Linked DNA regions of Macaca fascicularis. The main gene of each other region encodes a partner of the protein of the gene in region 2 in a complex. Links are inferred from orthologs where the notes say so. Each region holds a gene or a part of one and is shown on either strand. Other genes may lie near its edges.

Region 1 (4,611 bases), on a different chromosome or scaffold from region 2:
ATATATTTTGAGATACTTTTGTCTATGACAATTGTAATACAATAGAAAATATCTGTAATTTCTATTGGAGATAACCCTACATACTACTATTACTACTGTGGTTTGTTGTCTACATTCTGAATTGAAGGATATGCTAAGTTTCAGATAGAGCTGAGTGAGAATAAATGTGCTTTAAAAAATCCAATTTCATAGACCTATCTAGAGTAAGAAATCCTCCTATAAGAAAATAATTTCTAAAGAAAAATTTCATACTATTCTAAGCCACTATCTTAAGCCATTTTTGGTAGCAGCAGCCTATTATAAATAGATTATAACACTAATTCTAGCTAAAAGAAGTTAGGCTACTTCCCAGATAAAATTAGAAATTTACCCTATTTTGATAGCACGAAAAATGATCACTGCAGCTTTTATGTATCACTTGTTAAATTGGACAGGTACTCATTTGCATTCAGTATTTATGTGTTTATGAAACATCAGCCAGAACCATCTCCAAGTTGTATCCCATTATTTGTGTAAGATGTCTTTTTAGAGCCCCAGTTTCTGCTTTCATAAAATGAGTATTCTGATACCTACCTAGGTCAGTCCACCCCATAACTCAATAACAAACCACCCCAAAACTCAGTGACATGATAACAGTAACCATTATTTCTTGCTGATGTGTGTTTGTGTCAGCTCATCAAGGCTGGGCCTGGCTGGGCTTGGCTCCCAGCTGTGGGTTGGGTGTAGCCCTGCTGCACATCTCTTTCATCCTTCTTGGACCACTGGCTACCTGAGGAATTATTTTCTCTTGGCAAAACGCTGGAGCACAGCAGGGCAAGCCCAACCATGCAAGAATACTTCCAATCTGTCCATGTCACATCGGCTAACATCCCACTGGTCAAGTCACATGACCACATCCAAACTCAAGAATCAAGAGAAGTACATTTTGTCAACTAAGAGTAGTTGACGACTGAAAATAAATATATTAAAGTTAAGCCATTCGATCTTTTTTTTTTTTTTTCAAAACTAAGAACTGACTGTGGACTGGACACAGTGAAGTAATGGGTTAATTACCTTATGATATTATATGACTCAGACTTGTTAATAATTTAGACAAACCACAGTTAATCTGAGGTAAAACTGTAGCTTGATGATGAACTATAAATGAGTTTCTAACTTTGTAGAAGGAACCTTTCTGTAATGTGAGTATGTGGTGAAAACTTTTTGTTTTGTGTTACCAATAGCTGTGTTGTTGTATTTCATTTACCTGGATTTATGTACAAACACCTAAATGCTGGTTTTATTACTATTATTATTATTATTATTTTTTTTTTGAGATAGGGTTTCGCTCTTGTTCCCCAGTCGGGAGTGCAGTGGCGCGATCTCGGCTCACTGCAACCTCCGCCTCCCGGGTTCAAGCAATTCTGCCTCAGCCTCCCGAGTAGCTGGGCCTACAGGCATGTGCCACCACGCCCGGCTAATTTCGTATTTTTTTTTTTTTTTTGAGACGGAGTCTTGCTCTGTCGCCCAGGCTGGAGTGCAGTGGCCAGATCTCAGCTCACTGCAAGCTCCACCTCCTGGGTTCACACCATTCTCCTGCCTCAGCCTCCCGAGTAGCTGGGACTACAGGTACCCGCCACCTTGCCCAGCTAGTTTTTTTGTATTTTTTAGTATAGACGGGGTTTCACTGTGTTAGCCAGGATGGTCTCGATCTCCTGACCTCGTGATCCGCCCGTCTCGGCCTCCCAAAGTGCTGGGATTACAGGCTTGAGCCACCACGCCCGGCCAATTTTGTATTTTTAGTAGAGACGAGGTTTCACCATGTTGGTCAGGCTGGTCTCGAACTGCTGACCTCAGGTAATCCATCAGCCTTAGCCTCCCAAAGTGCTGGGATTACAGGCATGAGCCACCGTGCCTGGTCTAAATGCCGGTTTAAAAATGGTAGTCGTGCTGGAGGAGCATGCGCATTTTCTATTGGTTGTTTCCTATTGGTTGCCTTTTGCCCAAGTTCTGTACCTCAGCCTGTCTTTCCCCCCACTTGTGTCTGATACACTTGCATGATTTTTGCTTCATGTGACAATCATACCCCTCTTGTGGCATTGACAAAACTACTTTTTCTAAGTGTGATGACTGAGAAAATAAGGTATTTTCTCTTGCCAATTGGACATTTAATCTTAGGTACGAATAGTAAAGTAAGAAATGACATATTCTTTTCTTTGATCAAGACAAGACTTGGCAAATTTTTTTCAGTAAAGGACCAGATAGTAAATATTTTAGGCTTTGTGAACCATGCAGTCTCTGTTGGAAGTACCTAACTCTGCTGTTTAGCAGAAAAGCAGTTGTAGACAGTATGTAAATGAATGGGCATGGCTGTGTTCTGGTAAAACTTTGCTTATGGATGCTGAAATTTGAATTTCATAAAATTTTCATGTGTCACAAAATATTCCTTTGATTTCTTTTAAACCATTAAAAATGTAGAAACCATTCCTAGCTGCTGTGCTGTACAGAAGCAGGTTGTGGTCTAGATTTGACTCTGTAGGCTGTTGTTTACTGACCCTTTTGTCAAAACTATGATAGAGCTAGGAAATCTACGAAAAAAAATTAAATGTCAGGAAAAGGAGGGTTTTTTTGAGGAAAAAAAGTTGGGTGAAACTGGTATTTTTATTACAAATATTATTAAATCCTATGTGCTACTAAATACTTACATTTAAAGAGCAATTATATTAGTTAATAGGTGCATTTCAATTTCCTAAATAAAGTACATTTAGGCTTCCTAAAAGGTACATGCAGTCTATTTCTTTTCCCTTGCAGTTTCATAATTTCCTTTTAATTGTCCCACAAGATAGAGACACTTGTGAATATGTTAAAATTTAATAATTGCTTCTTAAAACTTAGCAATTCGGGCCACGCTGACTTTAAAAAAATTGAGAAATTTCATAAACAAACATAAAAGAACTTAAACACGTGTGCAGTTGAGCAAAAAGTGATGATGATGAGAGTATTGCCATGTGACTGCCTCCCCAGGTCAGGAAATGGAAAAATAGCACATTGCCGGCTCCTCCAAAGAGTCACCCATCCCTCCCCTTACCATGCTTTCTAGAACACAATCCTGTCCTCTTCCACAGGATTAACCATTATCCCAATTTCCTTGTTTTCTTTATGGTTTTACTTTATATATTATGTCTTCTGAAACAATATGGGGTAGTTTTGCCTAATTTTGAACTTTAAATTGATGTAATCATTCAGTGTGTATGCTTTTGGATTTTGCTTCTTTTGCTCAACATTATTTTTGCAAGCATCACCCTGGTAGTGCTTGCCATTATAATTTGTTGGGTGTAATCTTTCTGCTGAAAGATTATACCAAAGTTTATTAATTCAGTTCATTGTTGATGGACATTTGGTTTGTTTGCAGTTTCTATTATGACCAATGCTGTTGTGAATATTCTTGTATATGTATCTAGATGTATATATATCTAAGAGTCAGATGGCTGAGGCATAGGCGTAGGCATTGTCAGCTCTAATAGATACAGTCAAACTGTTTTCCTGAGTGGTTATACCATATTACACTCCTACCAGTCGTGTGGCAGGTTTTTTTTAAAGTCAATATAAACATCTTAGTGTACCATCTGACTTTGAGCCAGGTCAACTTTGTCATAGTACTGGAATGGTGGCTGAAAAACAGCCCCGGGGCACTGTCGCTTTGCACCCCTTACTCTATTTCCCCTCCTTCAGGGGTGGCTTGTGAACATCATCACGGCAGATCATGTCTCCCCACTCCATGAAGCCTGTCTCGGAGGTCATCCCTCTTGTGTAAAGATTTTATTAAAGCATGGAGCTCAGGTAAGGGCAGCTGAAACAACATCTTAGAAACCAAGAATGAAAAATGACTATGTATATCCCTACTGAATAGCTTCCAGCACTTTTGATTAGGCTGATTTGAAATATGAAGACAGTTGTTTTTTAAGAAAATTATGTTCATCAGACTTGTTTGCTTTAGTGATAGGTGGATGCAATACTAAATTTTTAGTCGTGCTTACAGTCTATATCATTTTCTTTATCACACACTACTAATAGTTGTTAGACTTCTGTCTTCATTGTTATGGCTGGAAGGTAATGAAATATTGTGGAAAGCACACATTTGCCTGGGGTGGCTAGGATGTCTGAGGAGACAGAAAATCTATGTGGTCATTCACCCTTTGGCTGGCAACTTGGACTTGTTCACATGGTAGCAGGGATTGCAAGAGCAGCAAAAATGGACCTGTTTGGTGTTAGGTAACTGAATGGTGGGGTGGGGGATATTATGGGCTTGCTATCTTCTGGCAACAGCAAATGCAAAGTCCCAGAAGTGATCGTGAGCAATTTTTGTATCTTGAAGTCATTCCTTATGGCAGGAGAGTAGAGTAGGTGAGAGGATTCAGAACCGGAAGCAACCCTGTCCATGCCAAAAAAAGAACGGGCTTTGTCCCAAGATTAGTAAAGAGCCAGAGGTGAGTGCATTGCCAGATTTATATTTGGGCTAAGAAAACATTGAAAACTTGGAAACAGGGAAAGTGGCAAGGTGAAGCAAGAGACACCTAGGGTACAAACTTGAAAGAGGTGCTCGTTCTCAGGCTCCTGCACTATTTGTGTGAT
Region 2 (5,188 bases):
TCAGGGGTGCATGGTGGGCACTGCCCAGGCAATAAGTTAGGAAGCAGCAGGGCTGGTGTCGGGTGTGGGCCGGGCTTCACTTCTGGGCAGGCATGAGGTCGTCGATGGCCTGGCCCTGCTCCAGCCGCTGCTCCATCTCGATGAGCAGCTTCACTCCGTCCACCACCATCTGCACCAGCTCCACCTCCGAGAAGCCCAGGCGGTCAGCGTTGGAGACGTCGAAGACCCCGCCCACTGCAGCCGTGTCCACACCGCCTGGGGAGACAGCAGGTCAGGGCGGAGGAAACAGGGCTGTCCAAAGGCCAACAGGAAGCCTGCAGCACCCGCCCTGCTCACCTGTGCCTCGCTTCTGAAGTCGTAGCCGCTTAAGCACCTCCGAGAACTTCTCATGCTTGCCCAGGTGGGGCAGCTTGATGTGCACTCCTGCCCGCAGCCCTGTGCCCAGGTTGGATGGGCAGGTGAGGATGTAGCCCAGGTGAGGGTTCCACATGAACTCATAGTTCTTAGACTTGAAGAGAGTTTCAATCTGCAGAGGGAGAAAAGGGTATGAGAGAGAAGGCCTGCCCGAGACCCCCACAGGCCCTGAGACTCCCAAGTCCCAGAAATCCCCCAGGGGGACTGATGGGGCACCCACATCCCTGCTGGAGCCCTGGGGTCTGGGCCTGCCCCGTCCCTGGCACCTGGGTGAGGCCGGTGCAGAAGCGGGTGAACACCTCCTTCATGTTGCCCCCCTTCTGCATGGAGATGACCCGCAGGTGGTCCTCCTCGTTGACCCACACCAGGAAGGTCTTATTGTCATTGTGCCTGCGGGAGGGCTGGTCTCAGGGCATATCCAGAAAAAAGCCCCAGGCCGTCCCCAGACCAAAGGAACTTCCCAAGTCCCCGAGGTGCTGCTCGCAACCGTGCCCTGGAGCAGGGGCTGCTGCCAAGACTCCGCCCAACACGGGGCAGGCGGGGCCGAGACGCCTCACAGTGAGCAGAACCCCGGCTGCCATCACGTCGTGCAGTGGTCTGAGGTGGGGCAGGGCCAGGGACCGCCAGGACAGCCCCGCCCGCCCCCCACAGTGGGGGTAGGAGCCCTGCCCCCGGAGAAGCTTCTGCGTCACCAGCCCCTGGTAGAATCCCAGCGACTGAGGAGTGAGAAAACAAGGAGCTCCAGCTCCCGAGGGGCGTCGGGCAGAGGCGCCAGGGGCCCCGCCCCCACCTCACGTCTCTAGAGGGGCTGAGTCCTGAACCCCCAGGGGCCTGGGCCCAGTACCTTAACGCACCTGCTCGGCCAAGGTCACCTGCGCGGGAGGCGCAGCACGTAACCCAGACCCGGAGCGCGGCCGGCCCCTCCCTCCTCCTCCTCCTCCTCCTCCTCCCTCTCCTCCTCCTCCTCTCCTCCTCCTCCCTGCCGCGAGGGGCCCCACCCCGGCAAGGGGGGCGAGAGGGAAAGGGGAGGCGGCGGAGAGGGCGGACGCCGCGAGAGGGCGCAGAGGGACACGCACCAGATACCGCGGGCGTCGGGCCAGTCGCGGGCCATGCCCGAGGCCAGCAGCAGAGGTGAAACGGGCTTGTCGAAGAGGAAGTGGTCGTCGATGAGCTGCTGCTGCTCCGCCTCCGTCATGCTCTTGAGCGCGTAGTACCGGCCCGCCAGGTCGCCGTCCAGGCTGGACAGGGCTGCGGGGCGTGCGCTCAGGACGCTCGGCTGCCGCGCCCGCCCCTCCAGCCCACAGCGCGGACCCGCCCGCCCCCGTGCTTCACCCCGGGGGACGTCAGAGGCCCCCACCCGCCCAGACTTGCGGGCGTCCAGTCCTCATGGCCCGGGCGACGGTCCCAGTCGGTGACCCCGCGCCAGGACCCGCCCTCCCTGGGCCCCAGGCCGCTGTGGGCGCGGGGCTGGGCCTCCGTCCCTCGGTCCCTCCGGGAAACTGAACCCAGGGGCGCGCAGATAAGAGCGCGGCGGCGGCTGCCGCTCCCAGGCGACATAAACAAAAGCGGGCGGGGACCGCGCCGGGAGGGGCACGCAGCCGCCGCCGACCCTTGGCCCGCCCGGCCCCTACCTTCCACCGCGAGCTTCTCGATGGCGCGGCGCTCCCCGCGGCTGCAGTGCGGGGGCAGGCAGAAGCCGCGGATGCTGCGGCCCGTGCGCACCCGCGAGCTCAGCACGTAGTTGGGGTCCAGGTCGTCGCCGCCCTGGGGGGCGAGACGGGAGTGAGCGCCCGGAGACCCCGGCCCGGCCCGCCCGGCCCGCCCGCCGCCCCGCACCTGCAGGTTGTCGGGGTTGAGGTCGGTCTTGTGCTCATCGCTGGGCTTGTAGCCGCCGTGCCGGTCCTCGATGATGGGGTCGAAGAGATCCTTGAACACGTCGTAGGACTCCTCGTCGCCCGCCACGCAGCCCACGGTCATGATGTACGGGTGGCCTAGGGGAGGGGGCGCGGGACGGAGACAGTGACGTCACTGCCGGGCCCGAGCGCGCTGCTGAGGACCGTGCGGCTGCGCGCGGGGAGGGGGCGCCGGGACCCCGGCCCCGAGGGGTCGCGTACCCGGGTTGTCCACGCCTGTCTGGATGACGTCGTCCAGCGTGAAGCCGCTCGGCGTGCTCTTGGCGCGCAGCTCCGCGTACAGCTCGGGGGTCAGCACCTTGGCCATGTGGTTGTTGTGGGCGCTCAGGTCCGGGAACTCGTCCTCGGCGGGGAAGCGCAGCTTCAGCGCGTTGTGGCTGTTGGAGAAGGGCATGGCGGCGGCGGGCTGCGGGGAGACGCGGGGTCAGCAGGGACCGGCAAGCCGGGGTTCCCGGACTCCCGCGTACCACTCAGGCCCCCGCCGCCGGGCCCCTCGGCGCCCCCGGGACGCGGCCAAGGTCAGAGGGGTCCGCAGCGCGCGCGGGAAGCGCCATCATCGCCCGGGACCCCCGGCCGGTCCGGCGCGCGCTCCAGGCAACGCGCCCGGAGCGCGTGACGCCGCAGCGCCCGCGCCCCCTTTGCACGCAGCGCCCCTAGCCCCGGCGCCGACGCCCCCGGCCCCCGGGCCCACTCACCGGGCGGCCGGGCGGGGGCGGGGGCGCTCCGTCCGTCGGCAGCTGCCGGAGCGACGCAGGCGAACAGCGGCCGCTCCGCGCTCCCGCGGCTCTTAAGGGACGCAACGAGGGCCGCCCATTGGCGGCTATTTATAGCCCATTCATTCCATTGGCCCGCGCCGCAGGGTGGTGCCGCCGCTTTGTCCGCCGCCCGCAGCCCCTGACACCCCCGGCCGCCCACCCGAGCCGTCTCCCCGCTGGGACCCCGCGCAGCCTGCCCAGTCCCCCGCCCAAGACCTCGAGGCCGAAACCTCAGATCCTTGAATATCTGGATCCCCTCGCACGCCCTTGCCTCCGAGCGGGAAACTGAGGCGGAGAGCCTCTGGGCACTCGAGGACGCTCGGGTTCATCCGCATCCTCCAGCCTGCCCGCCTAGTCCAGCCAGCCCCCGCGGCGGCGGCGAGGGGCCGGGCGAAAGCGTTCAGGGCTTCCGCAGCAGGTACTGCCCCCACCCCACCCCCGGCCAGTGTGAGCTGGCCCGGAGCCGCCGACCTTCCTCAAGGTGCCCGCAGGCATCTCCTGGGCGATCTTGGTGCAAAGCGAAGGCGCGCGGGAGGCGCAGTCTGGCTGCGGCCCAGCCCGGGGGCACCCGCGGTGCCCTGACCTTGGACAAGTCCTGGGGCTCTGGGGAATGCGAGCCAGAAACCACGCGGACACTGTGGTCTTAAGAGGCCGCTGGCAAGTGCAGCCTTGGAGTTTCCAGACCCTAACCCTGGGCCCTCTTCGCAGGGGACAAGCTCACCCGACCCCCAAAGGCAGTCCCCAGAGACTTCTGGCAAGGATGGGAGGAAACGCTAATAAACAATAAGCATAAATGCGATTTAAAGAAGAAGAAGAAAAAAAAAATCTCACGAATAACTAGAGTCATGCAAATTAAGCAGTGACTCCACCTCTCCCTACCCCCAGCACTCCCAGATCGACTCCAGCCAGTGCTGGCTATGAGTTGGAATGAGGGGAGACAGGCGTCCGCACGCTGCCTGCAACTTGAATTGCTGCCTGCTTTTTGCAAGGTAATTTGGCAGAATCTATTAACATTAACAATGTTGGGGGCCGGGCGCGGTGGCTCACGCCTGTAATCCCAGCACTTTGGGAGGCCGAGACGGGCGGATCACGAGGTCGCGAGATCGAGACCATCCTGGCTAACACGGTGAAACCCCGTCTCTACTAAAAAAAATACAAAAAACTAGCCGGGCGAGGTGGCGGGCGCCTGTAGTCCCAGCTACTCGGGAGGCTGAGGCAGGAGAATGGCGTGAACCCGGGAGGCGGAGCTTGCAGTGAGCTGAGATCCGGCCACTGCACTCCAGCCTGGGCGACAGAGCGAGACTCCGTCTCAAAAAAAAAAAAAAAAAAAAAAAAAAAAACAACAACAATGTTGGAACTCCGTGACCCAGCAATCCCCCTTCTAGGAATGCAGCCCTTAGAAAGGATGTCTCAGTTCTCTCCACTAATGGACCAAGAGATCTGTGGAGGGAAAAACAAACACATCTGGATACAACCCGATGCCCATCAGGCGGGACTGGCCAAGGGTAGGAAGGCACCTGCTTGCTATGGAATATTATGCAGCTGTTAAGAGGGGGAAGTGGAGTCTGTGGGGTTAATATCCATTAAAGACCCTCATCCGTTGCTCTGTGAATAAAGCAAGGAAGGGGGGAACTCTTATCTGTGGGTATATTTGATATAAATCCCTCCAGCAGTGGTACAGTGAGCACCTGCCCGGTGCCAGCCGCTGGGGATGCATCAGGCAGCAAGGTACACAGCGCCTGCTGCTGGCTGGAGGAAGACTGGCCATGAGCCAGCAGTCCAGCAAACCAGATGACATCACATCAGTGCTGCTGGGGTCAGGGGGACACAGAACACTGCAGTTCCAGGTATAAGGGATCCCAAATAGATGCCTCTGAGGAGAAGGCACCAGAGCCAAGGCCCAAAGGCAGGGGAAGCCCATTCACCTCTGCCTATGTTAGCATCTATGTGTGGGCCCTGCCTCTTGTCTCATCCCCATGCTCACTGCAAAGGAGACACATGCCTCTTTGCTTCTTAGCATACTTCGTCCTGTTCCAAGTCAGCATTTTTTAGACTAATAAAACCAACTGATGTAAAAAGGCAAATGGCCTCTCTGGGCTGGCCAGA

What was found.
Region 1: the proteins of CKB (region 2) and ASB9 are in contact, whole or in part, in a cryo-EM structure (PDB 6V9H), measured with the Homo sapiens proteins. The link is inferred for Macaca fascicularis from reciprocal best matches to the Homo sapiens genes CKB and ASB9. Residues at the interface, in NP_001814.2 of Homo sapiens: Asn63, Pro64, Gly65, His66, Pro67, Tyr68, Ile69, Thr71, Arg130, Arg132, His191, Val198, Ser199, Pro200, Leu201, Leu202, Leu226, Trp228, Glu232, Ile238, Met240, Asn286, Arg292, Gly303, Lys304, His305, Glu306, Lys319, Arg320, Gly321; in NP_001026909.1 of Homo sapiens: Leu25, Asn27, Pro28, Leu29, Met30, Gly31, Asp32, Ala33, Val34, Ser35, Asp36, Trp37, Pro39, Glu42, Ile45, His46, Trp60, Ala67, Asp68, His69, Glu75, Ala100, Asp101, Trp102, Val111, Asp133, Leu134, Ser165, His166.

The regions. Positions count from the first base shown.
Region 1 is NC_088395.1:15,049,053-15,053,663, reverse strand, and holds part of ASB9 (ankyrin repeat and SOCS box protein 9), read left to right. Parts: intron 1-3,711; coding exon 3,712-3,819; intron 3,820-4,611. UniProt on the Homo sapiens protein: Substrate-recognition component of a cullin-5-RING E3 ubiquitin-protein ligase complex (ECS complex, also named CRL5 complex), which mediates the ubiquitination and subsequent proteasomal degradation of target proteins.
Region 2 is NC_088381.1:171,694,390-171,699,577, forward strand, and holds the start of CKB (creatine kinase B-type), read right to left. Parts: upstream 3,088-5,188; 5' UTR 3,023-3,087; intron 2,734-3,022; 5' UTR 2,722-2,733; coding exon 2,529-2,721; intron 2,406-2,528; coding exon 2,046-2,405; intron 1,663-2,045; coding exon 1,491-1,662; intron 805-1,490; coding exon 681-804; intron 527-680; coding exon 337-526; intron 256-336; coding exon 77-255; 3' UTR 1-76. UniProt on the Homo sapiens protein: Reversibly catalyzes the transfer of phosphate between ATP and various phosphogens (e.g. creatine phosphate).